Arabidopsis thaliana: one gene and its partners. The protein of the gene in region 1 purifies or fractionates together with the protein of each later gene. This does not show direct contact. Each region holds a gene or a part of one and is shown in the gene's direction. Other genes may lie near its edges.

Region 1 (6,992 bases):
CCCTTTTCCCGACAAACCCAGGATCGTTAGAATCTTTTTTCCCACAGACACGGAACAACATCTCCGTACCGGAAGTTTGCCGGAATCCTGAACTCTCATACCGGATATAACATCCAGCGAGGTGAACACGAGCCGCCACCACATTACCGTCATCTCTGCCGCCACCGCAGAGTTTAGAAACGAGTTTAGGGATTTTGGAGACGCAATCGTAACACTGAGCGTTTTGGAGATCGCCACGGCACTGAAAAACACCGATCACGGCGGTGGTGTTATCAGTTCCGGAGGTTACGGAAGCGAAAGAGCTTTGTGATGATTGAGAAACTAAAGAAGTGAATAAGTTTTTGAGATTCTGAGAGAAAACACCAGTTGGGTCTGGAGATTTCTGATTTGCACAACCTTTAAAGATCAGATTTTTATAATCATCATCACCGGAGATTGCAAAGAATGGTAAAAAGAACCAGAAGATGAAGAATTGATAGGTGAGTTTCATAATTGAGAAAGACAGAGAGAGATTTTTGTTTCTTGATGTTCAAAATCTTTTTACTAGTTTGTTTCTGTCTAATAAAGTTTGTGTTGTTTTTATGTGTCCGGAAAAAAGAAAGTTTTCCGTTTTTTTTTTGTCTTTTGTTTTGAGGTTTAAAGACAAAAAAATGTAAATAAGAGCAGGTTTTGTAGTATGAAACCATGAAAAATAAAGGAGTATACTTTTCTTTGGATCTTGCTTCAAGGGTAAGATAAAAAAGAAAGAAACTTTGAGACGACAAGTGTTTATTATATAGATTTGGTTTAGGAGATTATGTAATACAGTATCAAAAAAAAATGATTACTGTTTCTTCTTTTTTGTTGTTGAATTTAGTGAATAACCTTTAATGCCATTAAATCTGACTTTATTGTCTGAATTTGGATTTTGTTTTAGGACATTGATGGAAAAACACCTTTTGTGTATATGTATTTTTTGTTTAAGGCACTAAGATATATTTTGATGAGTTTGATTTAAATTGTAGGCTGATACGAGAAGGAAAATAAAATCTTAGACCTTGTTGTAAATGTGAATGATTGATTCGATTTTATTTTGTGTCCAAAACAAAACAAAACATGATCGTTTTGAGTTTACATAATTTCAGAACATAATTGCGTAGTAACTGGAGTAAATAATAATAAACCTGTGTGTTTTTGTAAACTACAAAAGATATTATCACTATGATTATTTTGAGTTAATGATAAGCATGATTGTTTTTGCAGGATTTTGGATTTCACATTCTATATGATATATTTTGAGTTGGTGAGTGTGGAAGATTTGTCAACAACCCTTGATCTCACAAGAACCAAATTGCCTTTGTGTGTTTGGATTATAGCTCTCTTGGAACCTTTGTTGATGTATTTTACCTATGCTTTTGCTTACCTTTTATGGTATTGGGGAATGCCTATCTTTGTTGTATGTTAAAACTTTGTGATCTTAGAATCCTTCTACCTTTGTACTTGTTTTCTCTTGTAGATGAATGAAAACAAGCATTTGCCCAAAAAAAAAAAAAAAAGATTGCTCGGAGAAGTAGAGGTGTTCCCCAATGTTTCAAAATCATTAAGAGTTAAAGACTACAAAAGGAAAGAACTAATACTGTATACTGTAAAAGATATGTGAAACTCTTAATTAAGTATAGATTCCCTATACAATATTAGTGAATAATTTTTATAAAATAAGGTTACCAGAACTGCCTGCATTGGATTTAAATACCGGAGAATTTGAGACATACATAGTTACATACACATGATAGTAGTAAGATCAAAAACAAATCTTAAGAGGTCAATAAGATTCGCTTATTTATTGAGTTTGACCCGACCCAATTAAGCCCGGCCCATTAAGCAGAGAAGAAGAAGAAAGAGAGAGGGTCAACAAAAAGTCACAGTCGAACAAGATACTGAGAAAGAAACGAAATTTCACCTGGCACTGTCCTCGCGTGTACTCTCACGCGCCGACGTAATACTCTGCCGTCGTCACCGACATTGTCTCTACGCCGTTGTCATTTGCTTATTACGGCCAAGATTCTTCACTAAGTAAGTCAAAATCGTGGAATCCTTTCTCTGTACCGAGCTCGCTTTAAACCCTAACCCTCTCGTCTCTGTACTTAGTAAGTTCTTCTAATTTCCGACGAAAGTCTTCTCCTTTTTGAGTCTCATCGTCATCTGAAAACGCTATTAGCTCTCTGGAAGAGAAAAAACAACGTTTTGTTAGAGTTTCTTTGTGCGATTGTGTTTTCTTAAGAGGAAAGGTTTCAACTTTCTTAGGATATTCAATTTCTGAGTCTTTTCTGCTACTTGTGGTTAGTCTTTGCTGCTAGGTAGATGTCTGTAGTCTTGGTTTGTTGTTGATTTGCTTTAGGTCTGTCTTTGCTTATTGTTGTAATGTTTTGAGTTCTGGCCACATTTATTTCCTTACTGAACGGCTCTTCACATCTTGTTTCTTCCGCATTTTGATAGGACGAGGCAAATGAGAAGTTACAACTTGTTTCACGAAAGCAATCCCACAATCAGTTTTAGTTTTGTTGGTGCAGAAACGATGGCACCTAATCTGCATATCAAGAAAGCATTTATGGCTATGAGGGCTATGGGAATAGAGGATGCGCGAGTGAAGCCGGTCTTGAAAAACCTTCTCGCCCTTTACGAGAAAAACTGGGAGTTAATTGCTGAAGACAATTACAGGGTTCTTGCTGATGCTATCTTCGATAGCCATGAAGATCAGGTATCTTTCTTTGTTCTCTCTTTGATCTACTGTTTTTTTTTTTGTAAATCTGTTGTAATCATTGTCTTTGTTATTACCTTGACATTCCATATTGATTTACTTATATAAAGGCTATTCAAGAAAGCGAAGAAAAGAAGGCAGACGAAGTTAAAGAGGATGAAGGCTGTGTATGTTTTTTCCAAACAATCTTCCATTTATTAGTTCAATGTTGCTTTATTATCCATGCTTCACTTTGTTGTTGATCCAATCTTTCAGGCCGCAGAAGTTGACAGAGGAAAGAAAAAGCTCCATGAAGTATGGCAAACTGAATATCTTTGCTGTGTTAGAGTAATGTGTCTTCATGTTCTTGTTTATTCAGTTTCTGTTGTGTAATATCAGTCTATCGAGGATGACGAAGATGTTATGGCTGAGTCTGATCGCCCTTTAAAGAGGCTGCGACGCAGAGGTGAAGGAGGCTCTGCTTTGGCAAGCCCTAGCTTGGGCAGTCCGACTTTAGAGGGACCTTCAATTAATGACGAAGAAAATGCTCCGATCCTATTGCCATATCATCCTGTACCAATTGAAAATGACCATGATGCTGGTGAGCTCATTCTTACAAAAGTCGAGCCCATTACAAATATGCCTCTCAGTTCTATTCCTGGTACTTTTTTGTAAATAGGAGTAACTAAATCTTATTTGCATTGCTCATTTTGTTGTTATGATTGTTGAAGCTACTTTCTCCAAAACTAATGTGTCTTGTACGTTTTCTGTAGATTCAGTAGATAGAGGGGACTCTTCCATGCTTGAGATAGACAAATCAAATGGACATGTGGAAGAGAAGGCTGGTGAAACAGTAAGTACTGCTGATGGTACTACCAATGACATTTCTCCTACAACTGTTGCGAGATTTAGTGATCACAAGCTAGCTGCAACCATAGAAGAACCTCCAGCACTTGAATTAGCTTCTTCTGCTTCAGGCGAGGTGAAGATTAATCTTAGTTTTGCTCCTGCAACTGGAGGATCAAATCCCCATTTACCTTCTATGGAGGAACTACGAAGAGCAATGGAGGAGAAGTGTCTCCGATCATACAAAATACTGGACCCCAACTTTTCTGTGCTTGGTTTTATGAACGACATCTGTAGCTGCTACCTGGACCTGGCAACAAACGGGAGAGATTCAGCTAACCAATTGCCAAAAAACTTGCCGTTTGTCACAACGAACATTGATGCATTGAAGAAATCTGCAGCAAGGATGGCTTATACTTCTCAGGCCAGTAATGATGTTGTTGAAATCTGCAGCAACGAACATATGCGTGATGCTGAAAACGGTGCAGTTGGTGATTCCATGGCTTTGGTAGTTGTTCCTGAATGCCAACTTTCTGCAGATGAGTGGAGATTGATAAGCAGCGTCGGGGACATCAGTCTAGGGAAAGAAACTGTTGAGATTCCCTGGGTGAATGAGGTCAACGACAAAGTTCCTCCAGTTTTCCATTACATAGCCCAAAGTCTTGTGTATCAAGATGCTGCAGTGAAGTTTTCGCTTGGGAATATCAGGGATGACCAATGCTGCTCCTCTTGCTGTGGAGATTGCTTGGCTCCGTCAATGGCATGCAGATGTGCAACTGCTTTTAATGGCTTTGCATACACAGTAGATGGCCTCCTACAGGAAGATTTTCTGGAACAGTGTATCTCTGAGGCCCGTGATCCGCGGAAACAAATGTTACTGTATTGCAAAGAATGTCCTTTAGAGAAAGCCAAAAAAGAAGTAATCCTGGAACCGTGCAAAGGGCATCTAAAGAGAAAGGCCATTAAAGAATGTTGGAGCAAGTGTGGCTGCATGAAGAATTGTGGCAACCGAGTTGTCCAACAGGGCATTCACAACAAGCTGCAGGTACATTCAACTTACCAACCTTTTTAGCCAAGTAGTCCAGGATTTGATAATCTAAACCCATCTCAGTTCTGATAGAATTGAAACTGATTATGATCATTTTAACTTGGACTTAACCAGTGGAGAGATTCTGATGCCTGAATTTTGTTTATGTTCCTTTTTTTTTTTTTTTTTGAATCAGGTGTTTTTCACGCCCAATGGGAGAGGCTGGGGACTCAGAACTCTAGAAAAACTGCCTAAAGGAGCATTTGTCTGTGAGCTTGCTGGAGAGATATTGACCATTCCAGAGTTGTTCCAACGCATCTCTGACAGGCCTACTTCTCCAGTAATATTGGATGCGTACTGGGGTTCTGAAGACATTTCAGGGGATGACAAAGCACTTTCTCTTGAAGGAACGCACTATGGAAATATTTCCAGGTTCATCAATCACAGGTAAAGGGACACTGAAAATGAGTTTGTTATAAAGTTTCATATGACTAGCCTAGATTTAGAACTCATTTGGGAAACTTATATAGTTGGTTTCACTCTCAATTCATTACTTCTAACTGTACTATGTCTATATGTGCAGATGCTTAGATGCAAATTTGATTGAGATCCCAGTTCATGCGGAGACTACTGATTCACACTACTATCATGTATGACACAGTTCCTTGTTTCATTTCTAATCATTTGCTTATAGAAGACTCATCTGTTATGTGGAAACAATAGACCGATTAGCTAATCTGTATTTTTTTCCAGCTTGCATTCTTCACAACAAGAGAGATCGATGCTATGGAGGAACTTACCTGGGTGTGTTAGAAGTTTCTCCACCCACTCTTAACAGATTTGTTTCTTTTAGAAATTTTCACTAGTTCGGGTTCAAGTCCTGTTTTCTTTGTGGTTCTGTTTGAGAAGTTTTGGACTTGACCTGCAGGATTATGGTGTCCCATTCAACCAAGATGTGTTTCCCACGAGTCCGTTCCATTGTCAATGTGGTAGCGACTTCTGCCGAGTCAGGAAGCAGATTAGCAGTGAGTAATCATCACACGATTTCTATTTGATAATCCTTTTCCTATATTTGACTGTTATCTCGGTTTTGAAACATGAGCCCTTCACTATTTTGCAACTAACACGCAATTTGTTGATGCTGCAGAAGGCAAGAATGTGAAGAAGCGAGCATGAGAGAGAGCTTTACATTGGTAGGTTTTGAAGATATGTGGTGGGCGCAAACTCCTTTTTGTTGTGAATGAATTGGCAAAAAAATTCCAATCGAAAAACGCTTTTTGTAAAAAATTCCGACAATGCATATAAGCAAAGTCGCGGTCCATAAAATAGGTAGGTAGCTATCAGGATGAAACTATAATCCTTAGAAACTGATTCACTTTTGTGATATCAAAAACTCGTGTGAATATCTTAATTTTGGTTCTAACGGCTATGGCTTTTGGTTATGACTTATATTGAAAGATCTCTCTATTTATATAAATCGTAGTATCGAAGTGAAGTCTTGAAAGTGATTTCACCTTAAGAAGAACTCCCATGAGAATCACTTGTGGAAGGCTTCTCTCTCTCTATATATATGAGGAATGATAATAGTACAAGATCAAAGCTTATTACATTGTATGATACTTTTGAGTGCTGTTGGATAATCCTATCATTGAGTTATGTACAGTTTTCTACGCTTAAACCGAAAGCTGTGCTTCAATGGCTTTACCTACCAAGTCTCGGTTATGAGGTCTCCAGAGAGAATCTTGATCGCCAGATGAAGAAATGGCCGGTTGAATTCCACTAGCGTTTAGCGGAAACAGCGTCTTGTAGTAGCCATCCATTATAGCCGAAATATCACAAGTAGCCGCAACACCAGGAATCTGTTTCAACAACAACAACAAACACATAATTTGAAACACACTCCCAGATGCAGAATTTATGTCTCAGAGAGAAGCCAGTAAGAAGAGGAACCTGGTAAATCTCGCGCAAATAGCCATAGAGATTTGGGTATTCAACAAGCTTCTTCTTGGTGCATTTGAATAGAATGTTGTAAACCGAATCAAAACGAATCAGAGTTGTGAACAGACATACATCAGCCAATGTCAACCTTTCTCCACACAAGTATCTATTACTACCCAAGTGATCCTCAATCTCATCTAAGGTACTAAAGAGTTCATTCACTGCTCCATCATACGCTTCTTGGCTCTGCGCAAACCCGCACCTTTCAAAAATCACCACACATGACACAACAAACAAAGCCATCAACTTTAGCAACAAACACACATTGCAGCATCAAGAACACAAGCTACGCAAAAACCGCATCAAATGTGAACAATTCAGTTGCTTTCTATAGCTTTTAATACTAAAGAGTTCATTTTACAGCTCCATCATACACTTCTTGGCTCTGCGCAAACCCACACCTTT
Region 2 (8,292 bases), on another chromosome or scaffold:
TCTCTGTAATATTGTGTTTGTCATCTTTGTTTACTTTCTTTACCAGATAACAAATGAGGAACATATGTCACAAGCAATGTTCAACTTTGATTACATGGTATGAAAATTCTCTGTATATAATAATTTCCTATCCTTGTGATGTACCTTTTTATTATACAGTATTTGGTTCATTGAGTTTTTTTAACTGTTTTTATCTCACATTTATGTAGGGATCAGACTACAGAGCTCAGCTTCAACTTGGACAGAGTGCCCTAATTGGAGCAACTTATATCCAGGTAAGTTTGACTTGTCCCGTGCTACAGTGGAAACTTTCTAGATTTTTCTGTGTAGTCAAATAGCCAGGGAAAGGTTACTAACCATCTCTGAGTGTTTTAACCGTGTACTGTTTGCCTTGATTCGTCTAGCTGTGACATAGATGAGAGGTGAACCTTACGTCGTTCTATTAGACTTTGTGATTATGTCATGCTTAGTTTCTGTGGTCAAAGTTATATATATATCTTTTATCTGTGGGCAGTCTTTCTTTTGATCAGTAATAGTTAAAATTTTAAGTAAGGAATGTATCTGTTTTTTTCTATTCATTAAATTATCATAATTTTTTTGTACAGAGTGTTACAAACCATTTATCCTTGGGTGGTGAAATTTTCTGGGCTGGTGTGCCTCGGAAGTCGGGAATAGGCTATGCTGCTAGATACGAGACAGATAAAATGGTAGTGCTTCATCTCAGTTGGTTTATTATACAAATTGCAAGGTTCAAAAACTCAGTTAGCTGAAAGTAGATCAGAATTTTGAACACTTTGAGTTTATATACCCATCATATTAAGAACTGTTCTTGATGAACAGGTTGCTTCTGGTCAAGTTGCTAGCACGGGTGCTGTTGTTATGAACTATGTTCAGAAGATTTCAGATAAGGTGATGTACCGTTCTCATTTGATTGCATCTTAAAACCTTGTAGAGTTGAGAGATATATCATGACACATTCAATCTTTTTCATGAATCATGACACACAGGTGTCACTTGCCACTGATTTCATGTACAACTACTTTTCAAGAGATGTAACAGCTAGTGTGGGTTATGACTATATGCTTAGACAGGTAAGTAACATTGCCATATTTTCCCTGGATTGTAAGTGAATTGAAAACAAGCAACAAAAGAACATTCTAAATCCGTATTATTCTAATAATATGGGTTTTGTTTCAGGCTCGTGTGCGGGGTAAGATCGATTCAAACGGTGTTGCATCCGCTCTCCTTGAAGAAAGATTGAGTATGGGACTCAATTTTCTTCTTTCTGCAGAGGTACACAAATGATCTGCTACTTAGATTTCCGCTGGTTCCTGTATTGATTCTCCTTTAAAACTCTGGTTTCGTTTTGTTCGATCCAGCTGGATCATAAGAAGAAGGACTACAAGTTTGGTTTCGGATTAACAGTTGGTTAAAAGACCGAATAAAAACCGGCACACAATAAGCCTGGCGCACAGAGCAGATTGCAGCAGTAGTGGTTTCAGCTGCGAGGATTTCGGTTAAAATTTATTCTATTTCAGTTTAGGCTTTTTGGTGAAGTTGGGAAGATAAACGGTAACGATGTTGTGTTGTTATTTGAGGTTTAGGATTTGTTTCCAAGAACCATTTTATAAAAGAAGAAGAAGCAAATGAGGTTTTTGTTTTACTTCCTTGCTCTAAGATCTCGTGAACTTCCGAGAGAGGTGTATCATTTCATTTCCTTGCCATAAAAAAAAACGAATTCTTTTTTTCTTCCTCGTTCGTTGTCTGATTTGTTGAAAATATTTTATTCGAATATAAAATCACCTGAGATTTGTTGCTTTTGACGTGGAAATATAAGATGGGCCGAGATAGACGTCACAGTGGGCCGAGATAGACGTCACAGTGGGCCGAGAAAATGTGAGTTTTTACTTGGATGAAATTGAAATTGTACGTTGGGTTTTTGTACTCATCATCTCTTTCTCCGTCGTAACCGCAAACATTTGTGAGAGATTCCGAGCGAAAAAAACCCTAGTGTACAGTGGCGTCTTTCTTCTCCAACTCGCTTCTTCCCTGGTACTGTTCCTTTCCCTCCATTTTTTCCGATTCGAGCTCTTTCTCGTCTTCCTCTTCTACTTTTTCTGTTTTTTTTTTTTGTTTTACTTTTCTTACATTTACCTCATCGTGTAGGGTTTTACATTTCTGAATCCCGCATTGCTTGATTTCTTTTGTTTATGGCCTTCTTTCGCTTTCCGTGTTGCTAAATTAGTTTCCGATTTCAGCGAAATAGCGTTTTTGTTCCGTTGATCATCCATTTCGAGGTTTATGCCAAGTCGTCAACCTTACACCGTTTTCAAAAATCAACTTATTTTGTGGTGCTGATTGTTGATTTTTGTTGTTGCTTAGGATGCTTTGTTTTCGAATGTTAGTTCAAATGGTGGCTTTGTAGTGGGTTTCATTTGGAGAATAACACAAATCTTTTGCTTCGCAGGCTGATTCGGTTTCTTAAAAGACCTATTACTGATTCTTCTGAGGAGACTGACGTTGAAGGAGATTTTGTAATGGATTCTGCTATTGAAATTAGTTCAGGTAGTGATAGTGATGACGAAGTACCACCGCAGCCTGTTTGGCCACAAACTCGAACCAGGATGGATCCCACATGGCTAAGTATAGTTTTTGGCATATCTTTGTCAATTTCGGTCTTTCTGGTGAGGTTAGTTTTGGTAGCTTTATGGACTGATCGACTTTGATGCTGTGTTTTTTTCTTTGCAGGCAGGAGACCTTTGCCTACAGTGGATAGCCATGCTAGAGCTGAACATACAAATCAGGCTCCTCCCAATGGTGCCTCGAGTGATACTTCTCGGCCTGGAGTCTCTAAGCCTTTCACAGGGAATGGGAACACTGTAAACTCGAGAATTTCCAGTGGATCTGGTGCTGATTATGTGAGACTGTCTTCTGAGCAAGCTCTGAAAAGAACTCTTCCACCCTCTTTTAATTCCCCTCCCCTTCCTGCCAGAAGTGGCACTAACAATATAAGTAATGCTAGTGGAAGTCGTGTTGGTGTGGATTATGAGAGACCATTGTCTCAGCAAGCTCTGAAAAGAACTCTTCCACCCTCTTTTAATCCCCCTCCCCTTCCTTCCAGAAGTGGCACAAACAATATACGTAATGCTGGTGGGAGTCGCTTTGGTGCCGATTATAGTCATCCAGCTGTGTCAGCTGTAGGCAACAAGAGTACCTTTGGTGATCATTATAGTGGAGCCCATGCTGAGATAGGAATTCAACGTGGCGTGAATGGGGTTAGGATCCTGCCTCCATCTCTGACGCATGGAACATCTGCTTCTGTTTTGCATCATGCTGGTTCGAGTGATCCAATGCACAGGTTTGGTGGTGGTGAAGATAGGAATCCTGATAACGATGAAAGGCTGGTTTATCAGGCTGCACTACAGGTATTCATCCTCAGCACAACCCTTTGTTATTTGTGGACTTCAACACTTAAGCTCTTCTTTTGTGCTTGCATATCTAGTTATCGTTGCCCCTTGTACCAGCTTTACATTTTGCCGGCTCTTTTGAATCTCTTAATATGATTGTCATAGAGTATAATGGAGCAATAATTGACTCTAAATCTGGCTCATTTTTTTTTGTTAAATATTTTTCTGAGGTGCATGGTGCATGAAACGTTTTATAAGCGTTTGCATGTCTCATTGATGCTTCGGTCATACTACCATGCTGGATCAACTCAATTTTATACTGACTATCTTAAAATAATAATGTAGCTGCATTCGTTTTCTTCATGTCTGAGAAATAATGATAATTAATAATAATTTGGATCATTGACAATAGATGTAGCATTTATTTTCCGATTTTACTCTGGTACATTATAAGGGTGTTGAGAGCTCGGTGTTGTTCCATAATCTACCTGATATGAAATGGCGTGGTAAGTGCATTTTTGATTATCAAGTACTTTAATCCTGCAGGTTTTGAATCAACCCATGACTGAAAGTGATCTACCTCCTGGTACTCTTTCAGTTCCTCTTATGAGGCATCAGGTAGTAGCATGTTTTAAGTTTCCATTTATTGGCCGTTGGTATTGGTTTGTGTATTAAGTACTACTGGTCTTCAGAAAATTGCGTTGGCATGGATGTTTCAGAAGGAAACAAGTAGTTTCAACTGTCCAGGAGGGATACTAGCAGATGATCAGGTCACATTTGATTAAATTTCTTGACTAATAAATATCTGTGATACTGTGAGTCTGCTGCTTGGATATTTACCTCAAACTATGTAACGTCTACTCTGCAGGGACTTGGTAAGACGGTCTCGACGATTGCTCTTATCCTAAAGCAAAAGATTGTGTCACAACTGAAGTCCGAAAGTTCATGCAAGCAAGAAACTGAGGCATTAGTCCTGGATGCTGATGATGAGTCAGACAATGCAAAGCATGAAAGTGGTAGTCATGTAAAACCAGAGCTCAAGGTTTCAAGCAACAGTGAGACCTCGGTTCTGAGTGCATGTGGTAATGATGAGAATGACAGTTCAGATATGGAGAAAGCCGAAGATGAAGAAGCTAATTCTTCAACACGAGCATTTCAGTGGAAGAGACCAGCTGCTGGTACATTAATTGTTTGCCCAGCGAGTGTTGTAAGGCAGTGGGCAAGAGAGCTTGATGAGAAGGTTTCTGAAGAATCCAAACTTTCTGTGTTAGTCTACCATGGTAGTAATAGGACCAAAGATCCTAATGAATTAGCAGAATACGATGTGGTTGTGACAACGTACGCTATTGTTACTAATGAAGCTCCCAACAAATTCTTGGTGGATGAGGATGAGAACGATGAAAAAAATACTGACAGATATGGTCTTGCCTCTGGCTTCTCCAACAATAAGAAACGGAAAGTCGTGGTGGGTGCTAGTAAGAAGAGTAAAAGAAGAGGTAGAAAAAGCACTAACGATACTTCTTCTGAGCCTGATTGTGGTCCTCTAGGAAAGGTTGGGTGGTTCAGAATAGTACTAGATGAAGCTCAGACAATTAAGAACTATAGAACACAAATGGCAAGATCATGTTGCACTCTTCGAGCCAAAAGGAGGTGGTGCTTGTCTGGAACACCAATACAAAATACGATTGATGATTTATATAGCTATTTCAGGTTTCTTAGATATGATCCATATGCGGTGTACAAGTCATTTTACAGTACAATCAAGGTTCCAATTTCCAGAAATTCTTGTCAAGGTTACAAGAAGCTTCAAGCTGTTCTAAGGGCTATAATGCTGCGCCGCACCAAAGGTACTCTGATCATCTCTTTATTCTCTTTGATGGTTGGTTGAGTTGTTTATGTGGCCGGGACTTCTCAATCATTACTATTAATATTATCTATGTTATCTTGACACTTTGTGATTTTATCGGCTTATCTATAATGTACTCAATAAAGAGAGTACCTGTTAGTTTATTGAACCTGTCACCTGAGTTAGTCCTCCGGTCATGTGGTTAATAAAATAACAATTTTGTCTTCTCATCTGTACATTTTTCCTTTTGTCTTCTCATCTGTTCATTTTTATTTTGATATTTTCTGTTTGATGGTAGATTTTTACTTTGCTCCTATTATATTCGTACGTGGTTGTGCTGCACTTGATGGTTTCTGCTAAATATCTACTGTTCTGCTATCTAGGAACATTGCTTGATGGGAAACCCATAATTAATCTACCTCCAAAGGTAGTAAATTTGAGCCAGGTAGACTTTTCAGTGGCTGAGCGCTCTTTCTACAAGAAGCTTGAAGCTGATTCACGTTCACAGTTCAAGGTTCTCCTATTTTTTCCCCCACAAAGTATCTGTTCATACTTGGTTTACAATTGATGTGCACTTTTTTGGTTAAGAAGATCCATTTATAGCAACTAAATGCTTAATAAATGTGACCTTGTAGTTATGCAGCAATTTTATTGGAGATCCATGTTTCTGAGTGTCTTGCAAGTCTTCATTTCGTCCTATGAGAGAACACAAACTAGTAGCTGTACCCGATAGGATGATAAATTCATTTTCCCTGCAGGCCTATGCTGATGCGGGAACTTTGAGTCAAAACTACGCAAATATTCTTCTGTTGCTTTTGCGACTACGCCAAGCTTGTGACCACCCACAACTTGTTAAAAGATATAACTCAGATCCTGTTGGAAAAGTATCAGAAGCAGCAGTTAGAAGACTCCCTAGGGAGGCTCGAAGCAGACTGATCAATCGCTTAGAGTCATCATCTGCCATCTGCTATGAGTGCAATGTAAGTGCAGAAGTGCAGAGTAAATGAGACCTAGAAATAGCATGTCCTCAGGCTCACTATTCTCTAGTTCTTAGGTCTTGTCCTGACTATCTTTGCTTCTTTTTTTTTCATATTTATTCGCAGGAGCCACCAGAAAAACCTGTTGTTACGTTGTGTGGCCATATATTTTGCTATGAATGTGTTTTAGAATACATAACTGGGGATGAGAACACGTGCCCTGTACCGAGATGCAAACAACAGCTTGCGCGTGATGTTGTTTTCTCTGAATCTTCTCTTAGAAATTGCACTTCTGATGATTCGGGCTGTAGTTCCTCTCATGATAATGGTCTTGATAGATCGGTATTTCAAAAAAGAGACTTTTGTTCATCAAAAATTAAAGCTGTCCTCGATATCCTGCAGTCGCTTTCCCAACCAGACAGTCCAAACTCAGCTCAGCATGGTCAAATGCCATCTTCCTCACGGCCATATGATGACGATGATGTTACCATTGTAGAGCCAATGCGTCTTCACTCATCTTCACCTAGCCAGGGGGCAGTAAAGACGATAATATTTTCTCAGTGGACTGGTATGCTTGACTTGGTTGAGCTGCGTATTCTTGAAAGTGGTATTGAATTCAGAAGATTAGATGGCACAATGAGTCTAGCAGCAAGAGACAGGGCGGTTAAAGAATTCAGTAAAAAACCAGATGTAAGTGATGTAAATATCTTAGATATGTTTTCTAAAACAATATACTAATCGTTTCTCTGAAATATGGAATGTTCATGGAGTATTGATCCTGAAGCTCTCTAAAAGCGCAAAAAAAATTTTATTAGGTAAAGGTGATGCTGATGTCGCTAAAAGCTGGAAACCTTGGGCTGAATATGGTAGCTGCATGTCATGTTATTCTCTTGGATCTTTGGTGGAATCCAACTACCGAAGATCAGGCGATTGATCGTGCACATCGTATTGGACAAACTCGGCCAGTTACTGTAACTCGCATAACTATAAAAGACACCGTTGAGGATAGAATTTTGAAGCTTCAGGTATTCTCTAAACTCTATCTGCTCATTGTCGCTGGGTTTTGGGTTCCCTTGGTTTCCTTTTCAGATTTATATTTACAGTAATTTTTTCAAGCTAATTACTAAAGAGAGTTTTTGTGGTAGACTATGAAGGGCTTATGAATTTTCTCGTTTACCATTTTTTTTTCAGGAAGAGAAAAGGACAATGGTTGCATCGGCCTTTGGTGAAGAACATGGTGGAAGCTCTGCGACACGTCTAACAGTAGACGATCTCAAGTATCTGTTTATGGTGTAGACTACTCGTTGTATGGTCTAAGCGTAGCCTTCTAATCGCCTCTTGAACTAGGTTGCTTAGTACAGTACATATGGGAGATTTAGCCCAGAATTTTGATCAGGAAGAAACCTCTAGCTGCTTTTGTAATGGATATCCAATACTGTGGCACTCCTTTGGTTTTGTAAGGTTTGAACCCAATCTATGCATTTTTGGTGTTTCCAAAGTGCATCGATTGGAAACAGGCCATAAGTAAATAACTAAAATCGGTTCATGGTATATATACCACGTAGGATTTTGACCTTAAATGTAAAAGATCAATTGCTTAAAAGTTTGTTCTGTATTTCACGTCTCTCTTATATCATGACATTCCACGCATTGTTTTCAGCTTGAAGGCAGTCTCATGTATGCTTTGGAAACATTAGTTTGTGAAGCCAGCCGTACAATTTGGTCAATCTTTGTATTGTGCTAACTTCTTCCAGCAATGTGGATTAGATGAGAGATCCTCTGTATGTATATTCATAGCTTGTTGCCTTGTTCCTTCATGGTACATTGTTTATAACCGATGATTGGAGAGTGGACTCAACCTACATACGGTTTTACGGTTTAGGACAGACACCTAGCTGTTAAGAGGAAGGTATGCAGAAGAGAAAATGCAGAACCCCCTTTCTTTCTTGAAAAGGTAGATACACTCTAGGAAGGTTTAGAACAAATGAATGAGAAAACTCTGCATTGTAGGTTCAAGAAACACTAATAAGAAATCCACATGTTTACTGATTAGTGAGAAACC
Region 3 (8,278 bases), on another chromosome or scaffold:
AGAAGGATTACAAGTTTGGTTTCGGTGTTAACGCCTTTTAATTCCATCAAATGGCCTTCACAATTAGTTAGAAACCTCAAGATTTGGTTATTTTTTGATGTTCAGTTTTTTTAGTTTAGATATTTTTACTGTATTGCTCCCACAAGAATAAAAGCCAAGGAGGTTTCTTCATTTCACATTGAGGAAGAGCCTTTCTTGTTTATTATTTAATTTAATTAATGTGTAAACATCAGAACTCTTTTTTTGTTAGATTTAACTTTGGGAGAACTATGAAAATAGTCTAAATTTTCTTTTAGCTTTCAGTTAATTTTTTAATTAACAAAATAGTTTAAAGTGGAGGAATTTTCAAAATTGCTCCTTTTGTTGTACTCATTTTCATACATTTTCAAAAATGCTTTCATTAAACCTGATAATGTTAGTAAAGTTTATTGTTTACATGGTACTTCTCGATAGTAACTAATTTTTGAAGAGTCGATCCAAGTATTTATAAGGTTTTATAAGATATTTAAAAGTTTTTATAAAGTATATAAAATGTTTTCTAAGATATTTACAAGGTTTTATACATGTAAGAAATAGTTTTGTATTTTTTATAAGTTTAACATAAATAATAAGACTTTGGATGAAGTTTACTTTTAACATTTTTAAGCGATTTTCTTTCTTATTATTATAAAATAAATTGTCTATAATAAACTTAGTCAATTTTATGTTTTTTCCAAACCAAGGTAATTATTATGAAATTTTGGTCAACTATAAATATTTACTTCACAAGATTTTTAGTATTTAGGGAATAAAGTTTCCAATAACTAAAACTCGAACTATATTGTATCCCTATATAAATATACGTCTTTCTAAATTCTAAAGATAACAACAAATCTACTAATACCACCACATATTTTTCTGTTGTCCTACTTTTGAAACAATCCCAATACTAGAAGGCTACGAGAAAAATCTTAGTAAAATCTTGAGACTAAGTATCGGTGCTTTAGTCCAAAAGGTAAAATCTCATTTTGTTGAATTCTTTCAATGGCTTTTTTTTGTTTCTAATGGGTTCTGAATTTTTGCTAGACAAAATATTCGGGATCCAAGATTCATTCTGAAATTCGATCTAAAAATAGGTTATCCAAAATCTTTGGATTTAGATATTTTGATTTAAAAATTAGGATATCCTTATTTTATATAAATTGCTCAAAAAATCACCAAAAAAAATATTTTAAATTTGTTGTGCAATATTTTAAATTTAATCCATTTGAAAAATAGTTGATAATTAAATTTGTTTTATGATTAATTTGGATACAAACTTTTTATTTGTTTTATACTATTATTTTAATTGTGAGTTATTTATGGTGGATTTGAATCCGATATTAACGGATTTGGATCTGGATATGTCGTTTCTCATATATGGTGGATGTGGATTCAAGATCCATGTATCTTAAAATTCCAGGAAATATTAGTAGTGTCCACCTTGATTAATGTAAATGATATCTCGGAAGCTCAATTTTTTTTATGTCAATTAGTATTTTTGAAATTATAATTTACTTTTATATAAGAAATTTTTAGTGATATATTACATTCAAAACCAATAAGAAACAGTACTAGTAAATTTTATAACAATTTTTTTTTTTGATTTCATACCCATTTTATGGAGTGAGAATTCACAGTCTAATTTGTTTAATTATGTTCTCAATGATTTTTTTCTTTTTTTTGGTCAACAATCATCCTTAATATATATATATATATATATATGTGAAGTTGAAATAATATGGGCCGAGAGGTTTGGGCCTGGTTCTGTTTTTTTGTTCCTACTATTAATTTAATTTATTTGTTGAGATTTTTCCTCGTTTTTTAAAAAACCGATGAGAGCGTATCTATATTTCTTTTTTCATTTTTCTCTCCGATCAAAACGCCGCCGTTGCGTCTCTGATTCTTCCTTTGGGTCAACTGAGGAAAAAACCCTTCCTATGAAGAACAACAATTGGCTTCACACTCTCTCTTTTCTCAATTTTGCTTCTTACTTCTTTCCCCGGTACTCACTGATTCTCCCCAATTTTCCTTATTTCGTCGTGCCCTTAGGGTTTCTTACATCGAAAGTTTGGTTTTTGATTATGTTGTCCCGCCATTGCATGACGTTGTTCTGTTTTGTTCTGTCCTAATTGCTTATTTGGGTTTCTGAATAATCTTCAATTGGAGTTTTTTTTTTGTTCAAGCTGAAGAGTTTCGGTGATCGTCCTCTAGAGATTGATGCTAATTTTTTCAAACATTACAAAGTTTCCAAAGCCACCGCCCACTTGAAACATTCTTTTGGTGATTATGATTGTTTATATCGATTTAGCATTACTTTACAATAAGCAAGTGATTCTCTTCATAAAGTATGTAGCTTTACTTTGTTTGATCCTACTCTTTTGGTAATCTTAGTTTCGGATTTGCCTTTCTCGCAATAACAGAGCGCTTTGTAAAGTTTTGCGTTTTAGATGATTAACATTCCTTTCTTGCGTATTTCAGGCTGATTAGAAACTTGACCGCTTGATTCTCTTAAAGGAGGTCTTGCGATGGATTCCGCTATTGATATCAGTTCTGATAGTGATGTCGAGATACAAGAAACTAGAACCAGGCCTCAACATCCCCCACGGATAGCTGAAGGTTGCATTTCTGACCTATCAATTGTTTTATTTGTTTTGCTGTGAGGTTAGCTTTATGGAGTTGTTGATCTTGGTGCAGGATCTCATAGAAGAGATCTCTCTACGCTGAGACCGCACTTTCTTAGTGGGAGTTCTTCCGGTGCAAATGGCCACACTAAAACAGGACTTACAAATCTCGACTCACGTAATGGTTTTGAATCCAAGCCACTGCCTCGGGCAGAACACCATACACATATTCCGGGAAATGGGAGTATCGTAACTTCCAGAATTCCCAATATCTCTGTTGGTGATTATGAGAAATTTTCATCTCAACAAGCTTTTAAAAGGACACATCCACCAACCTTTAGTCGACCTCCTTTTCCTCCTAGACCTGATATTGGTACAAGTAACGGGAATGCGAGTCACTTTCGTGGTGGAGCACATGATGATCTAGGCATGGGGCGTGTGACTAACGGCACTCGGATCCTACCTCCATCTGTGGCGCACGGAACATCTGCGTCTCCTTCACATTTTAATGGATTAAGTGATCCAATGCATAGGAATGGCATAGGCGAAGAAAGGAATTCGGAAAATGACGAGAGGCTGATCTATCAGGCTGCACTACAGGTGTTCATCCTTATCCCAACTTTTGACTTTTGCGATTCTCATCTTAGTTTTTCTTTTGTGCAATGCACTTCTCTTTTTCGCCAGCTGTGGGGTTGTTGAACTTGGCCATTGAATGATTGGAATAGGCTCGTTTCTTCCTGTTTGTTTTATGTCAGAAATGAGTAATAGGTTTTTAAAGGTTCGGATGTCTCAATTTCTCAATGATGCTTGAGACCGGGTAACATGCTGAATTTCTCTGTTTTAGACCATGTGTATGGAAGCATTGTTGTTCTTCCTTTTTGACAAACGAGAAGGAATAGGAACATTCACTATTGTTGCATTCGTCTCTTATTTCGCACTGTTGCATCAAGGTTATGATTTCCATTTGAAGAGTTTGGTGTTTTTGCATAATTCCCCTGGTATGAAATGGTGTGATTTAAAAATAAAGACTTTTGCCCACAATATGAATTGGTGTGATAAGTGCTTAAACTTCTGATAATTAAGTACATGTTTTCTGCAGGAACTGAATCAACCCAAGTCCGAGGTCGATTTACCTGCTGGTCTTCTTTCGGTTCCCCTTATGAAGCATCAGGTATTCAGGTTTACATCATCTTTCAGTATCTGTCAGAATGGTCTTGTGTACTTAACACTGTTGTTTCTCAGAAAATTGCATTGGCATGGATGTTTCAGAAGGAAACTAATAGTTTGCACTGTATGGGAGGGATATTAGCTGATGATCAGGTTACTTTTAATCGTAGTTATTTTCCGCTTAACTATCTATGATCTTACTAGGTTTCCCTCAAATTCCATTTGGTCTACTGCACAGGGCCTTGGTAAGACAGTCTCGACTATTGCGCTTATCCTAAAGCAAATGCACGAGGCAAAATTAAAGTCCAAGAATTCAGGCAATCAAGAGGCTGAAGCATTGGATCTGGATGCTGATGATGAGTCAGAAAATGCATTTGAGAAACCAGAGTCTAAGGCTTCAAATGGTAGTGGTGTGAATGGTGATTCAGGCATAAAGAAAGCCAAGGGAGAAGAAGCGAGTACTTCAACACGCAAATTCAACAGAAAGAGACCAGCTGCTGGTACTTTAATTGTTTGTCCAGCAAGTGTTGTGCGGCAGTGGGCAAGAGAACTTGATGAGAAGGTTACTGATGAAGCCAAACTTTCTGTTTTAATATACCACGGCGGTAACAGGACCAAAGATCCTATTGAACTAGCAAAATATGATGTGGTTATGACAACTTACGCCATTGTTTCAAATGAAGTTCCAAAGCAACCCCTGGTTGATGACGATGAGAATGATGAAAAAAATTCTGAAAAATATGGTCTCGCTTCTGGCTTCTCCATCAATAAGAAACGGAAAAATGTAGTGGGTACTACTAAGAAGAGTAAGAAGAAAAAAGGTAACAATAATGCTGGCGATTCATCTGACCCTGACTCTGGTACTCTAGCAAAAGTTGGGTGGTTCAGAGTTGTACTAGATGAAGCTCAAACAATTAAGAATCATAGAACCCAGGTGGCAAGAGCATGTTGCGGTCTTCGAGCCAAAAGGAGGTGGTGTTTGTCTGGAACACCAATACAAAATACAATAGATGATTTATACAGCTATTTCAGGTTTCTAAAATATGATCCATATGCTGTGTACAAGTCATTCTGCCACCAAATTAAGGGTCCAATTTCCAGAAATTCCCTTCAAGGGTACAAGAAGCTTCAGGCTGTTCTAAGGGCTATAATGCTACGCCGTACGAAAGGTATTTTAACTATCTCACTATTCCTTTTAGTGGTTGGATTGGTGAGGGACAGGACTTGACAAAAGTGGTATATCATATGTCATGCATTTTCTTATTATATCTGCTTATATCTTAGATACTTTATAATGAGATTAGCTGTGATCTTACCTGAGCCATTACCTAATGATAGTCCTAAAGTTAAGTCCAATACTATTCTTCGGTTTGTGCATTTTTCCATTTCATTTTACTCTGATCTTCTGCTTTTAGATGATATATTTTTCATGTTACTCCTCTTATCCCTCAAGTAACTGTGTTGTTTTTGAGGGTTTCTGATAAGTTGATACTCTTCTTCTGATCTGCGATCTAGGAACATTGCTTGATGGCCAGCCTATAATTAATCTACCACCAAAGACAATTAATTTGAGCCAGGTGGACTTTTCGGTAGAGGAGCGGTCTTTCTACGTGAAGCTTGAATCCGATTCCCGTTCTCAGTTCAAGGTGCTCTTTCTGTGCTCCTCCAAACTATCAGTTTATCCTTGGTTTATAGCTGTGATCTGCACGTTTTTGAAAAATATGATACTTACGTAGTAACTAGCAACTTGATATGGTATAAACATAGGTTATGGAGGCATTTTCGTTGAAAAAAATGTTTTGCAGTGATTCCTGATTTCCTGTCAAGTATGTGAGATGATATTTTTTTCTCTGCAGGCATATGCTGCTGCAGGAACTTTGAATCAAAACTATGCAAACATTCTTCTCATGCTTTTGCGACTACGCCAAGCTTGTGACCACCCCCAACTTGTTAAAAGATATAACTCAGATTCTGTTGGAAAAGTATCAGAAGAAGCTGTTAAAAAACTCCCTAAAGAGGATCTAGTTAGCCTGCTCAGTCGCTTAGAATCGTCTCCCATCTGTTGTGTCTGCCATGTAAGTGCATAATAATTTAGCAAATATAAGTAGCGTATCTTCAGGTTCGCCATAATCTAAGTCCCTAGCTGCTTGTTCTGATTTTCTTTACCCATAAATTCCGTTTTATTTTCTCTTTGCAGGATCCACCAGAAGACCCTGTTGTTACTTTGTGTGGCCATATATTCTGCTATCAGTGTGTATCAGATTATATCACAGGGGATGAGGACACGTGCCCTGCGCCTAGATGCAGAGAACAGCTTGCGCATGATGTTGTTTTCTCTAAATCCACGCTTAGAAGTTGCGTTGCTGATGATTTGGGTTGTAGTTCCTCAGAGGATAATAGTCATGATAAATCAGTTTTTCAGAATGGCGAGTTTAGTTCATCAAAGATCAAAGCTGTCTTAGATATTCTGCAGTCGCTTTCTAACCAAGGCACTTCAAACTCAACACAGAATGGTCAAATGGCTTCTTCCTCGCAGCAGCCGAATGATGATGATGATGATGATGATGATGATGTCACCATTGTCGAGAAAACGAGTCTGAAGTCAACTCCTTCTAATGGAGGACCAATAAAAACGATTATATTTTCTCAGTGGACTGGTATGCTTGACTTGGTGGAGCTATCTCTAATTGAAAATAGTATAGAATTCAGAAGATTAGATGGTACAATGAGTCTAATTGCCAGAGACAGAGCTGTGAAAGAATTCAGCAACGATCCAGATGTAAGTCGTATGCATATCTGAAATCATTTTTTCCTAAACAATTTTCTTAGTGGTGGTGTATGTGTTCCCTCCTTTTTTTGTTTTTTTGTCTTAAACAGGTAAAAGTGATGATAATGTCTTTAAAAGCTGGAAATCTTGGGCTGAATATGATTGCTGCATGTCATGTCATTCTTCTTGATCTATGGTGGAATCCAACTACTGAAGATCAGGCTATTGATCGAGCACATCGTATTGGACAAACTCGACCTGTTACTGTAACTCGTATTACGATAAAAAATACTGTGGAGGATAGAATTTTGGCTCTCCAGGTAAAGATCCCTTATAGCTGATACTTGTTTCCCCCCTCAGTTTCTCTCATTTGTGGTTGTGTGATTTTTGGTTATTATTATAGGAAGAGAAAAGAAAAATGGTTGCGTCTGCCTTTGGTGAAGATCATGGTGGAAGCTCTGCAACTCGATTAACAGTTGATGATCTCAAATATCTATTCATGGTGTAGCTGTTCTTAAATCTTGGGTTGGCGAAGTTTCGCTTCTTTCAGAATTTTGATCATGAGCTGCATTCTTGTGTTCTTCAGGTTCACAGATTTGAAATGAGGAAATATGTAAATAACTTAGCTGTTGTCTCATAGTATATATAACATCAGAGTATATACTTTTTCTGAATCAGTTCATCCGAGATCTTCTTTCCTTTTGGGATCACATTACTCTTTCAATCTTATTATCAAGGTGTTTTGATCATGCAACACTTTTGCATGAGAAACACTCTGTGAATTTGCTAAGACAAGATAAAGACTAGATTGCTTAAACAAAATTCAAATATAAATGAAGCAAGAAGATTAGGTTAAACTAGATTCAATGTAAATGAAGCACGTGAACTTTAGGTTACAAAGTATTTGGACAGCAGATAAGTCGTATACTCTTTGGATAGTGAACATGTCCTTTAGTAACCTAAATATATATACCGAGTTTAAGTTATTTACAATACACAAATGACAAGATCACCTGCTTAAAGATAGGCAAAGTTTGGCTGGTCTCTGAAAGAATTTGGAGTTCTGAACTTGAACCGATCATCAAATTAGTTATCTTCAGCTCAAATTGGATTTGGTTTGGTATTACACCCACACCAGACCAAATTGAACCAACACACAAAGGCTTTACATGCAGAGGCAGTAGAAGCATTTAAGCCAAAATAGCATAAAGAGACAGAAAGTCACCATCACAAAACAACTAAGATTGTGTCCCCATGTATACAAAAAAGAAAGGGACTCTGCTCATAACCAAAATAGAAGACAAACTGTAATATATCATTCACTTCCTGCATCTCCAAGCTGATACCGAGTATAGAGGTCGATCTTGCCAGCAAATTACTGCGCACCCGCTCTCTTCCTTGATTCTATACCCATCAAAACCGCACCCTTGAAGCAATCTCCTAGCCTGCAACATCGCATAATAGCTAAGAGGAACATTCCCAAAACCAGCCAAATCGATCCTCTGGCTCCATTTCTCAAGCTTCTCGTGTCTTTCTCTTCTCTCAAATCCCTCGCAGGATATGATGTTCTTGATCTCCTCCCCGAAGAGCATCTTCTCCACTTTGATCCTATCTTGAGACGTTCTTGGAACTTTTGTTTCCAAGCAATCAAACAATGCTGCGTAGGTGTAAAGTGATTCTAATAGCCTCTCCATTAGTGTGG
Region 4 (6,612 bases), on another chromosome or scaffold:
TTTCCGGTTAAAGTCGTTATCTCCGGTGCCGGAGCTGGTGATGAAGAAAGGCTGAGCAGAGGATGATGATGAAGGAATAACGCTTGTGTTATATGATGATGACGACATCTTTAGATCTTCTTCTTTGCGTGGAAGAGAATAATCTACAAATAATTCGTAAGACAAAAAAGTTAAGAAGAAAACGAAGGGAGGAATTATAAGAACAGGAAAAATCCATAGAGATTGACGACATGAAGAAATTTTATAAAAACCATTTCACTAGAAGACATAAACAAAGAAAAACAAATTAAGAGTTTATACTTTTGTTTTTTGTTCCTAAACTTTTGAAAGAATTAAGAGGAAAGATTTCTAAGTTGTATTTTTCTTGTACCTGAGATCAAGAGAAAGAAACCAAGTAGAAGAAGGAAAAAAAATAGTCAAAATTAAAAGCTATAAATCGGAGCTAAAGAAAGAACCAAGAAGAAGATGATGCATGATGATGATGATGAGATAGAAGATGATGATGAAGAAGAAGACACTATTCCTATATATTATGTATTATAATACAAACACAAACCTCAAAGCCCTATCTCTCTCTATCTCTATATCTCTTTCTCTCTCTACTGTTTTGTGTTCTTCTTCTTTTAAAAATAAGCCATATATGAAATGATCTTGAAAAGTATGTCTCTAAGGTCCCCTCTCTGTCTCTATCATTTTATTTTATTTCGATTAATATAAAATAAAGCTACTTTTTTTCTTTCTTATAATTTAATTTGACAGAATTAAGAAGGATGGTTACGGTTTGGGTGTCACTGTTAAAACGGTGAAATGTGTCCACATGCGGGGGTGTGTTGTGGGTACCACATTTTTCTCATTCGTATCTTTCTGGTGAGCTTTAAGACAAAACCCTCGTTTTCTCTTCATTTAACTTGATTAGGTTTTGTTGTACTAACTTTTTTTTAATTGTTTTTATCTAATAAAATCGTTTATAATATAACATATCGTATATTAATACACATGATACACCAATCAATAGAGAATTTTTTAAAATTTGTTAGATTCTTGTATGAAAATTAATATATTGCTTTTCTTCTTTGGTTCAATTCTTCAACCTTTCAGAATGTTCAATGCAAAACAATCGAACCGATTGGTTTTGAATCAAACCTAATTAATCCTGAACGAGTAACCAACTCTCAACCGATCTGAATAGATTTTAAAACGATATATCACAAAATCTCCAATATCACTTTAAGAGCTTTGAGAAAATATTATTGATATATTATTATTCGACCGTAAAGTTTGATTTTCTCCTTTTCACTTGGGCTTTTTAATCTTATACAATTTAGTTTTATTTTAGTTTACAAACGACAACATATTTAAGTAACAGGTGACTTCTCAACTTGATCCTCTCTTCATTACCATCGATGCTTTTTAAGTTATACTGAGATCGTACCAACTGCAATGGGTCAGTGCCGGGCCATATTCAATCAGGGCCTCCCTGATTGGGTTGTAATATGATTTCAAGTTAGTAATATGAAATAGCACACAGTCACGCACACAAAAGAGCCTATATAAGGAGAGATATACCACAAACAGCCCAAGACCCAGTTGTTTTAGATGAACCAAAATTGTATGGAAATATTTAGTATTTGAAACTGCCGTCACCAAGATGGCAAGGTCAGAGAAACTCAATAACAACTCTGTTTCTGCCATTCCGAGAGTTAATATTAATTTTCAGAGTTAATGGATTAGCTAGTAAACATATATATACAAATGATAATAACCTGTAGAATGAGGATTAAGATCGAGAACGACGAGGTTATCTTTACCGCAACATTCCAAACGTAGCCAAAGCTCTATTACCATACCCCTCAATGTACATATCCAGCTTATAAGACTCCTATCCAGTATCCACCATCCAACGAAACACACTCTCAGATTCTTCCACATTATGAATACATGTCAACCAAATAATTTCTCACCTCAACCATCATTTCAAAACCAAATCTTCAAGCAAACCCCATGGATTTAAAAACCCTTTTCAAGTGCGTCAAACAAACCACAAGCTTTTAGATTTGTCGAGAAAGTGAAGTCGTTGGGCCCATTTCTTCGGATCCCTTAAGTTCACCATTAAGTACTCATTAGAGCCCATTTCTTGGGGCCCATTAAGAGATTAAGTCCGCGCGCATAGCTTTTGGAGGATGCCGCTCTTTTGTAAGAAGCAACACGTTGTTGAGTCTCTAACCTTTCTTTGAAATCTTGACCTTTCCCTTCCTTCTCCGCTAAATTCGTTTTAATTTCATCTTCTTCTTCTTCTTCAATTCGATGCAATAATAGTCACTTCAATCTCAATCTAGGGTTTTCAATTTTCTTCATGTGAATTTTTTTTCCCCTTCTTCTCAATTTCAATTCAATCTGGGATTCGTAAATTCTCGGAAGATGAAACGCGATTTCGACGAAATCTCCGAGGAAGAGTGGTCTCAACACTCGTTTAACGCTTCGCGAGTTCTTAAACGACCACGGACTCCGAAGAAGACTCGCGCGGCGACGAATCCAACGCCGTCGATTGAGTCTTTTGCGTTTAGGAGACCTTCGACGGCGATGACGATTGAGAGTAATAGCAGCGATGGTGATTGTGTTGAGATTGAGGATTTGGGAGATTCGGATTCGGATGTGAAGATTGTGAATGGTGAGGATTTGTTGTTAGAGGATGAAGAAGAAGTGGAAGAGACTAAGGTTGTGATGCGCGCTGCGAGAGTTGGTAGGAGATTTGTGATTGAAGATGAAGAAGCGAGTGATGATGATGATGATGAGGCTGAGAGTAGTGCTAGTGAGGATGAATTTGGAGGAGGAGGAGGAGGAAGTGGAGGAAGGAGAGGAGAAGATGAAGATGTTGTGGGGAAGGCATTGCAAAAGTGTGCTAAAATCTCAGCGGATCTTCGAAAAGAGCTTTATGGTACTTCTTCTGGTGTTACTGATAGATACTCTGAAGTTGAAACTTCTACTGTCAGGATTGTCACACAGGTACTGGAAATTATCACTTTGGTGTTCTTAAAGTAGTTGCTTTGAGACGATTTAGAGTGTCTTCCTTATACAATTGTGAAGTAACTTTTGATTAGATAGCATATTTTGGTGGTAAGCTTTGATTGGTTTGGTTAGAGTTTACTGTTTTGTTAACTAAAACTTGTTTACTTTTGGGTTGAATCTGTGATGATCGCAGAATGATATTGATGATGCATGTAAAGCAGAGGATTCTGATTTTCAGCCTATACTCAAGCCGTACCAGTTAGTTGGTGTTAACTTTCTTCTTCTGTTGTATAAGAAAGGAATTGAAGGAGGTATGTGTTTTTACTAGTTTCGATCTGTAAACCTTTTTAGCGTGAATGTCACTTTGTAACTCACTTTCTATTGTTTGTAGCCATTTTAGCCGATGAGATGGGTCTTGGAAAGACCATTCAGGTGCATTTTGCTCTGTTATTACTGGATAAGTTTTCTTTGTTTCTTTATCTTATAAAGAACTAATTTTGTTCTCATTTACCTTAGGCAATCACATATTTAACCCTCCTAAGTCGCTTAAACAATGACCCTGGTCCTCATTTGGTTGTATGCCCTGCCTCTGTCTTGGAAAACTGGGAGAGAGAGCTCAGAAAATGGTGTCCGTCGTTTACTGTACTTCAATACCACGGAGCTGCGAGAGCAGCCTACTCAAGAGAATTGAATTCTTTGTCAAAAGCTGGGAAGCCACCACCATTCAATGTGCTTCTTGTGTGTTACTCTCTGTTTGAACGGCATAGGTGCAACTCTTGATGCTTTTATTTGCTTTTTGGCTTTTCCTGTTACTCACAGATGTTGGAATTTTACAGTGAACAACAGAAAGATGACCGAAAAGTACTGAAACGGTGGCGCTGGAGCTGTGTTTTGATGGATGAAGCCCATGCGTTAAAGGATAAGAATAGTTATAGGTGGAAAAACTTGATGTCTGTGGCCAGAAACGCAAACCAGCGTCTTATGCTTACAGGAACGCCTCTACAAAATGATTTGCATGTACGGTTGGTTTCTGTTGATTTTTTCAGGATCTAATTACCTAATATAGACGACATTTCTTCATGTGGTCATACAATGCTTATTCCCTGCATATGTTTGGTCTATGCAGGAACTATGGTCGCTGTTGGAGTTCATGTTGCCTGATATATTTACGACAGAGAATGTTGACTTGAAGAAGTTGTTGAATGCAGAAGATACTGAGTTGATTACTCGAATGAAATCTATCTTAGGTCCTTTCATCTTGAGGCGTTTAAAATCTGATGTCATGCAGCAACTTGTTCCGAAGATACAGCGGGTATGGATATATCTATGCACAATTAAGTACACGATATTAATCTTCTAGCTGCAAATCTCATTAATTTCCCATCAATCCAATGCAGGTTGAATATGTATTAATGGAGAGAAAGCAGGAAGATGCATATAAAGAAGCCATAGAGGAGTATCGTGCTGCTTCTCAAGCACGGCTTGTGAAGCTTTCATCAAAATCCTTGAATTCTTTAGCCAAGGCACTTCCAAAGCGTCAAATTTCAAACTATTTTACTCAATTCCGGAAGGTAATTCTCAGCTACTAATACAAAGCCCCTTTTGTGCCAAATGAGTGTGTTATTCATGTGTTATTAAATTTTGGTTGTACAGATTGCAAACCATCCATTGTTAATTAGGCGGATATACAGCGATGAGGATGTCATTCGCATCGCCAGGAAATTGCACCCAATCGGTGCATTTGGATTTGAATGTTCCTTGGATAGAGTTATCGAGGAAGTTAAGGGTTTCAACGATTTCCGTATCCACCAGGTAAATGTTTCTCTTTCCAAAAGCAGTTGAATATCCATTAACAAACATGTTATGCAATTGAAGAAGCTAACTAACTTGTTTCTTTCCATAGCTTTTGTTCCAATATGGAGTTAACGATACCAAAGGAACTCTCTCAGACAAACATGTCATGCTCTCAGCAAAATGTCGGGTACGTGATATTCTTCTTCATTTCATAAGTCTTCTTTGTGAAACTGATTAAGTATAACTAAACCTGTGAGCGATCTAAATCTCCCTTTATGTATCAGACATTAGCTGAGCTTCTCCCTTCAATGAAGAAATCCGGCCATCGTGTTCTAATATTTAGTCAATGGACATCGATGCTCGATATCTTAGAATGGACACTTGATGTCATCGGCGTTACATACCGAAGACTTGACGGCAGGTAATAAAAGAAAAAAGAGTAATTTGTCACATTTTTGACGATTCTACAAAAAGGAAGAAGCTTAAGTCATTTTCCTTTTGTTTTCAACAGTACTCAAGTTACAGATAGACAAACCATAGTCGACACATTCAACAACGATAAGTCGATATTCGCATGTCTCTTGTCAACTCGAGCAGGTGGACAAGGTCTTAATTTAACCGGAGCGGATACAGTCATTATTCACGATATGGATTTTAATCCACAGATTGATCGGCAAGCTGAAGATCGTTGCCATCGTATTGGTCAAACAAAACCAGTCACTATCTTCAGGTTTGAGCTTTAAATCCTTGAATCAGTTTAGATAACTTTCAGAACAAAATTGTGGTTTGGATTGGTTTATGTGTGCTCTGTTTTGTATTCTCACATATATCTGTATTAACTCTGGCAATGCTGGTGCAGACTGGTGACGAAATCGACGGTTGATGAGAACATCTACGAGATAGCGAAGCGGAAACTAGTTCTTGATGCGGCGGTTCTAGAGTCCGGAGTTCACGTAGATGACAACGGAGACACGCCTGAGAAAACCATGGGAGAGATTCTTGCTTCTCTTCTCATGGGATAACATTATTGTTACCTTTTTTGTTTTGAGGTAAAATTAGTCAAGAAACGAAGTTAATGTGTTATTCTAAACATGTGTAACCACTAGCTATTATTAGACTTAAATTTAATAGATCACGATAGTTATATTTTCTTCTACGCATGTAAATTATAACCCAAAAATTTCCTTCTTTAGACCTAAAAGTCACAATTGTTCCAAACACTAAAATGTGGATCAGTGATCAAATGAAGTGAACCTTCAGGATAGTTTAGTCTTCGATCATCAAAGATTGTATAAAGGAGTGACTTAGCTGTATTTGTAGGTATCAAAATTGAAAACCTCACGCAATGATTAAAGGTCTCAAGTATCTTTATTCGTCAGAGTTGTATAAGACACAAATCTCACTAGATTGTTTTCCCATTGTCTTTGCCGAAACCTAACAATGAACAACTAGTTCTATTAGGATTGGTTCAAGAATGTCACATAGTATAAGTTTTTCTTAGCTGAAAAATTCTAGATAACTTGGAATAAATTCTAGATAGTCTTTTTTTTTTGCTACATTTGAAGATAAATATCTATGAAAATGTTCAAATTCATGATTATATTATTGCGATTAAATAATTGAATATGACTATACAAAATAATTCACTAGTAAATCAAAGCCATACTAAGTTTGGATTCTTTGTGGTAACTGCCATTGCCAAGTCACGTTTTGAAGGTGTTCTCATGGTCAATTTACACTTAAAATTGAACCTGAAAACTAAGGCCAACCGGAAACTTGTTGAATTGTGTGAAGTGAGAAAATGATAATCGT

The links.
Region 2: the proteins of SUVR2 (region 1) and AT3G20010 purify together in Arabidopsis thaliana (affinity purification with western blotting; 2 studies listed by BioGRID, with this or other methods). This does not show direct contact.
Region 3: the proteins of SUVR2 (region 1) and AT1G50410 purify together in Arabidopsis thaliana (affinity purification with mass spectrometry, with the first as the bait; one study listed by BioGRID). This does not show direct contact.
Region 4: the proteins of SUVR2 (region 1) and ETL1 purify together in Arabidopsis thaliana (affinity purification with western blotting; one study listed by BioGRID). This does not show direct contact.

The regions. Positions count from the first base shown.
Region 1 is NC_003076.8:17,695,969-17,702,960, forward strand, and holds SUVR2 (SET-domain containing protein lysine methyltransferase family protein), read left to right. Parts: upstream 1-1,873; 5' UTR 1,874-2,126; intron 2,127-2,475; 5' UTR 2,476-2,485; coding exon 2,486-2,737; intron 2,738-2,847; coding exon 2,848-2,904; exon of another isoform or gene 2,905-2,959; coding exon of another isoform or gene 2,960-2,992; coding exon 2,993-3,031; intron 3,032-3,115; coding exon 3,116-3,377; intron 3,378-3,489; coding exon 3,490-4,607; intron 4,608-4,785; coding exon 4,786-5,036; intron 5,037-5,172; coding exon 5,173-5,239; intron 5,240-5,342; coding exon 5,343-5,393; intron 5,394-5,517; coding exon 5,518-5,614; intron 5,615-5,736; coding exon 5,737-5,765; 3' UTR 5,766-6,068; downstream 6,069-6,992. Other genes in the region: PDLP1 (plasmodesmata-located protein 1), read right to left, coding at 1-490; AT5G44000 (Glutathione S-transferase family protein), read right to left, coding at 6,263-6,448, 6,540-6,789. UniProt on the Arabidopsis thaliana protein: Probable inactive histone-lysine methyltransferase that acts as regulator of transctiptional gene silencing independently of histone H3K9 methylation.
Region 2 is NC_003074.8:6,968,815-6,977,106, forward strand, and holds AT3G20010 (SNF2 domain-containing protein / helicase domain-containing protein / zinc finger protein-like protein), read left to right. Parts: upstream 1-1,868; 5' UTR 1,869-2,052; intron 2,053-2,128; exon of another isoform or gene 2,129-2,297; intron 2,298-2,467; 5' UTR 2,468-2,537; coding exon 2,538-2,643; intron 2,644-2,748; coding exon 2,749-3,425; exon of another isoform or gene 3,426-3,953; coding exon 3,954-4,025; exon of another isoform or gene 4,026-4,099; coding exon 4,100-4,177; intron 4,178-4,275; coding exon 4,276-5,254; intron 5,255-5,636; coding exon 5,637-5,767; intron 5,768-6,011; coding exon 6,012-6,233; intron 6,234-6,356; coding exon 6,357-6,920; coding exon of another isoform or gene 6,921-6,968; exon of another isoform or gene 6,969-7,045; coding exon 7,046-7,255; exon of another isoform or gene 7,256-7,297; intron 7,298-7,421; coding exon 7,422-7,526; 3' UTR 7,527-7,877; downstream 7,878-8,292. Other genes in the region: TOM40 (translocase of the outer mitochondrial membrane 40), read left to right, coding at 47-97, 210-275, 606-707, 841-909, 1,008-1,091, 1,198-1,293, 1,380-1,433. UniProt on the Arabidopsis thaliana protein: Probable helicase-like transcription factor involved in transcriptional gene silencing. Associates with SUVR2 and contributes to transcriptional gene silencing at RNA-directed DNA methylation (RdDM) target loci but also at RdDM-independent target loci.
Region 3 is NC_003070.9:18,670,282-18,678,559, forward strand, and holds AT1G50410 (SNF2 domain-containing protein / helicase domain-containing protein / zinc finger protein-like protein), read left to right. Parts: upstream 1-1,854; 5' UTR 1,855-2,023; exon of another isoform or gene 2,024-2,499; 5' UTR 2,500-2,546; coding exon 2,547-2,637; intron 2,638-2,715; coding exon 2,716-3,242; intron 3,243-3,741; coding exon 3,742-3,813; intron 3,814-3,884; coding exon 3,885-3,962; intron 3,963-4,047; coding exon 4,048-4,978; intron 4,979-5,324; coding exon 5,325-5,455; intron 5,456-5,665; coding exon 5,666-5,884; intron 5,885-6,006; coding exon 6,007-6,588; coding exon of another isoform or gene 6,589-6,609; exon of another isoform or gene 6,610-6,686; coding exon 6,687-6,896; intron 6,897-6,979; coding exon 6,980-7,084; 3' UTR 7,085-7,371; downstream 7,372-8,278. Other genes in the region: AT1G50400 (Eukaryotic porin family protein), read left to right, coding at 1-41; SCL3 (scarecrow-like 3), read right to left, coding at 7,896-8,278. UniProt on the Arabidopsis thaliana protein: Probable helicase-like transcription factor involved in transcriptional gene silencing. Associates with SUVR2 and contributes to transcriptional gene silencing at RNA-directed DNA methylation (RdDM) target loci but also at RdDM-independent target loci.
Region 4 is NC_003071.7:521,063-527,674, forward strand, and holds ETL1 (SNF2 domain-containing protein / helicase domain-containing protein), read left to right. Parts: upstream 1-2,160; 5' UTR 2,161-2,418; coding exon 2,419-3,003; intron 3,004-3,199; coding exon 3,200-3,317; intron 3,318-3,397; coding exon 3,398-3,438; intron 3,439-3,522; coding exon 3,523-3,773; intron 3,774-3,842; coding exon 3,843-4,023; intron 4,024-4,132; coding exon 4,133-4,318; intron 4,319-4,403; coding exon 4,404-4,577; intron 4,578-4,659; coding exon 4,660-4,818; intron 4,819-4,909; coding exon 4,910-4,987; intron 4,988-5,084; coding exon 5,085-5,221; intron 5,222-5,311; coding exon 5,312-5,530; intron 5,531-5,659; coding exon 5,660-5,822; 3' UTR 5,823-6,006; downstream 6,007-6,612. Other genes in the region: IDD4 (indeterminate(ID)-domain 4), read right to left, coding at 1-108. UniProt on the Arabidopsis thaliana protein: DNA helicase that possesses intrinsic ATP-dependent nucleosome-remodeling activity and is both required for DNA repair and heterochromatin organization.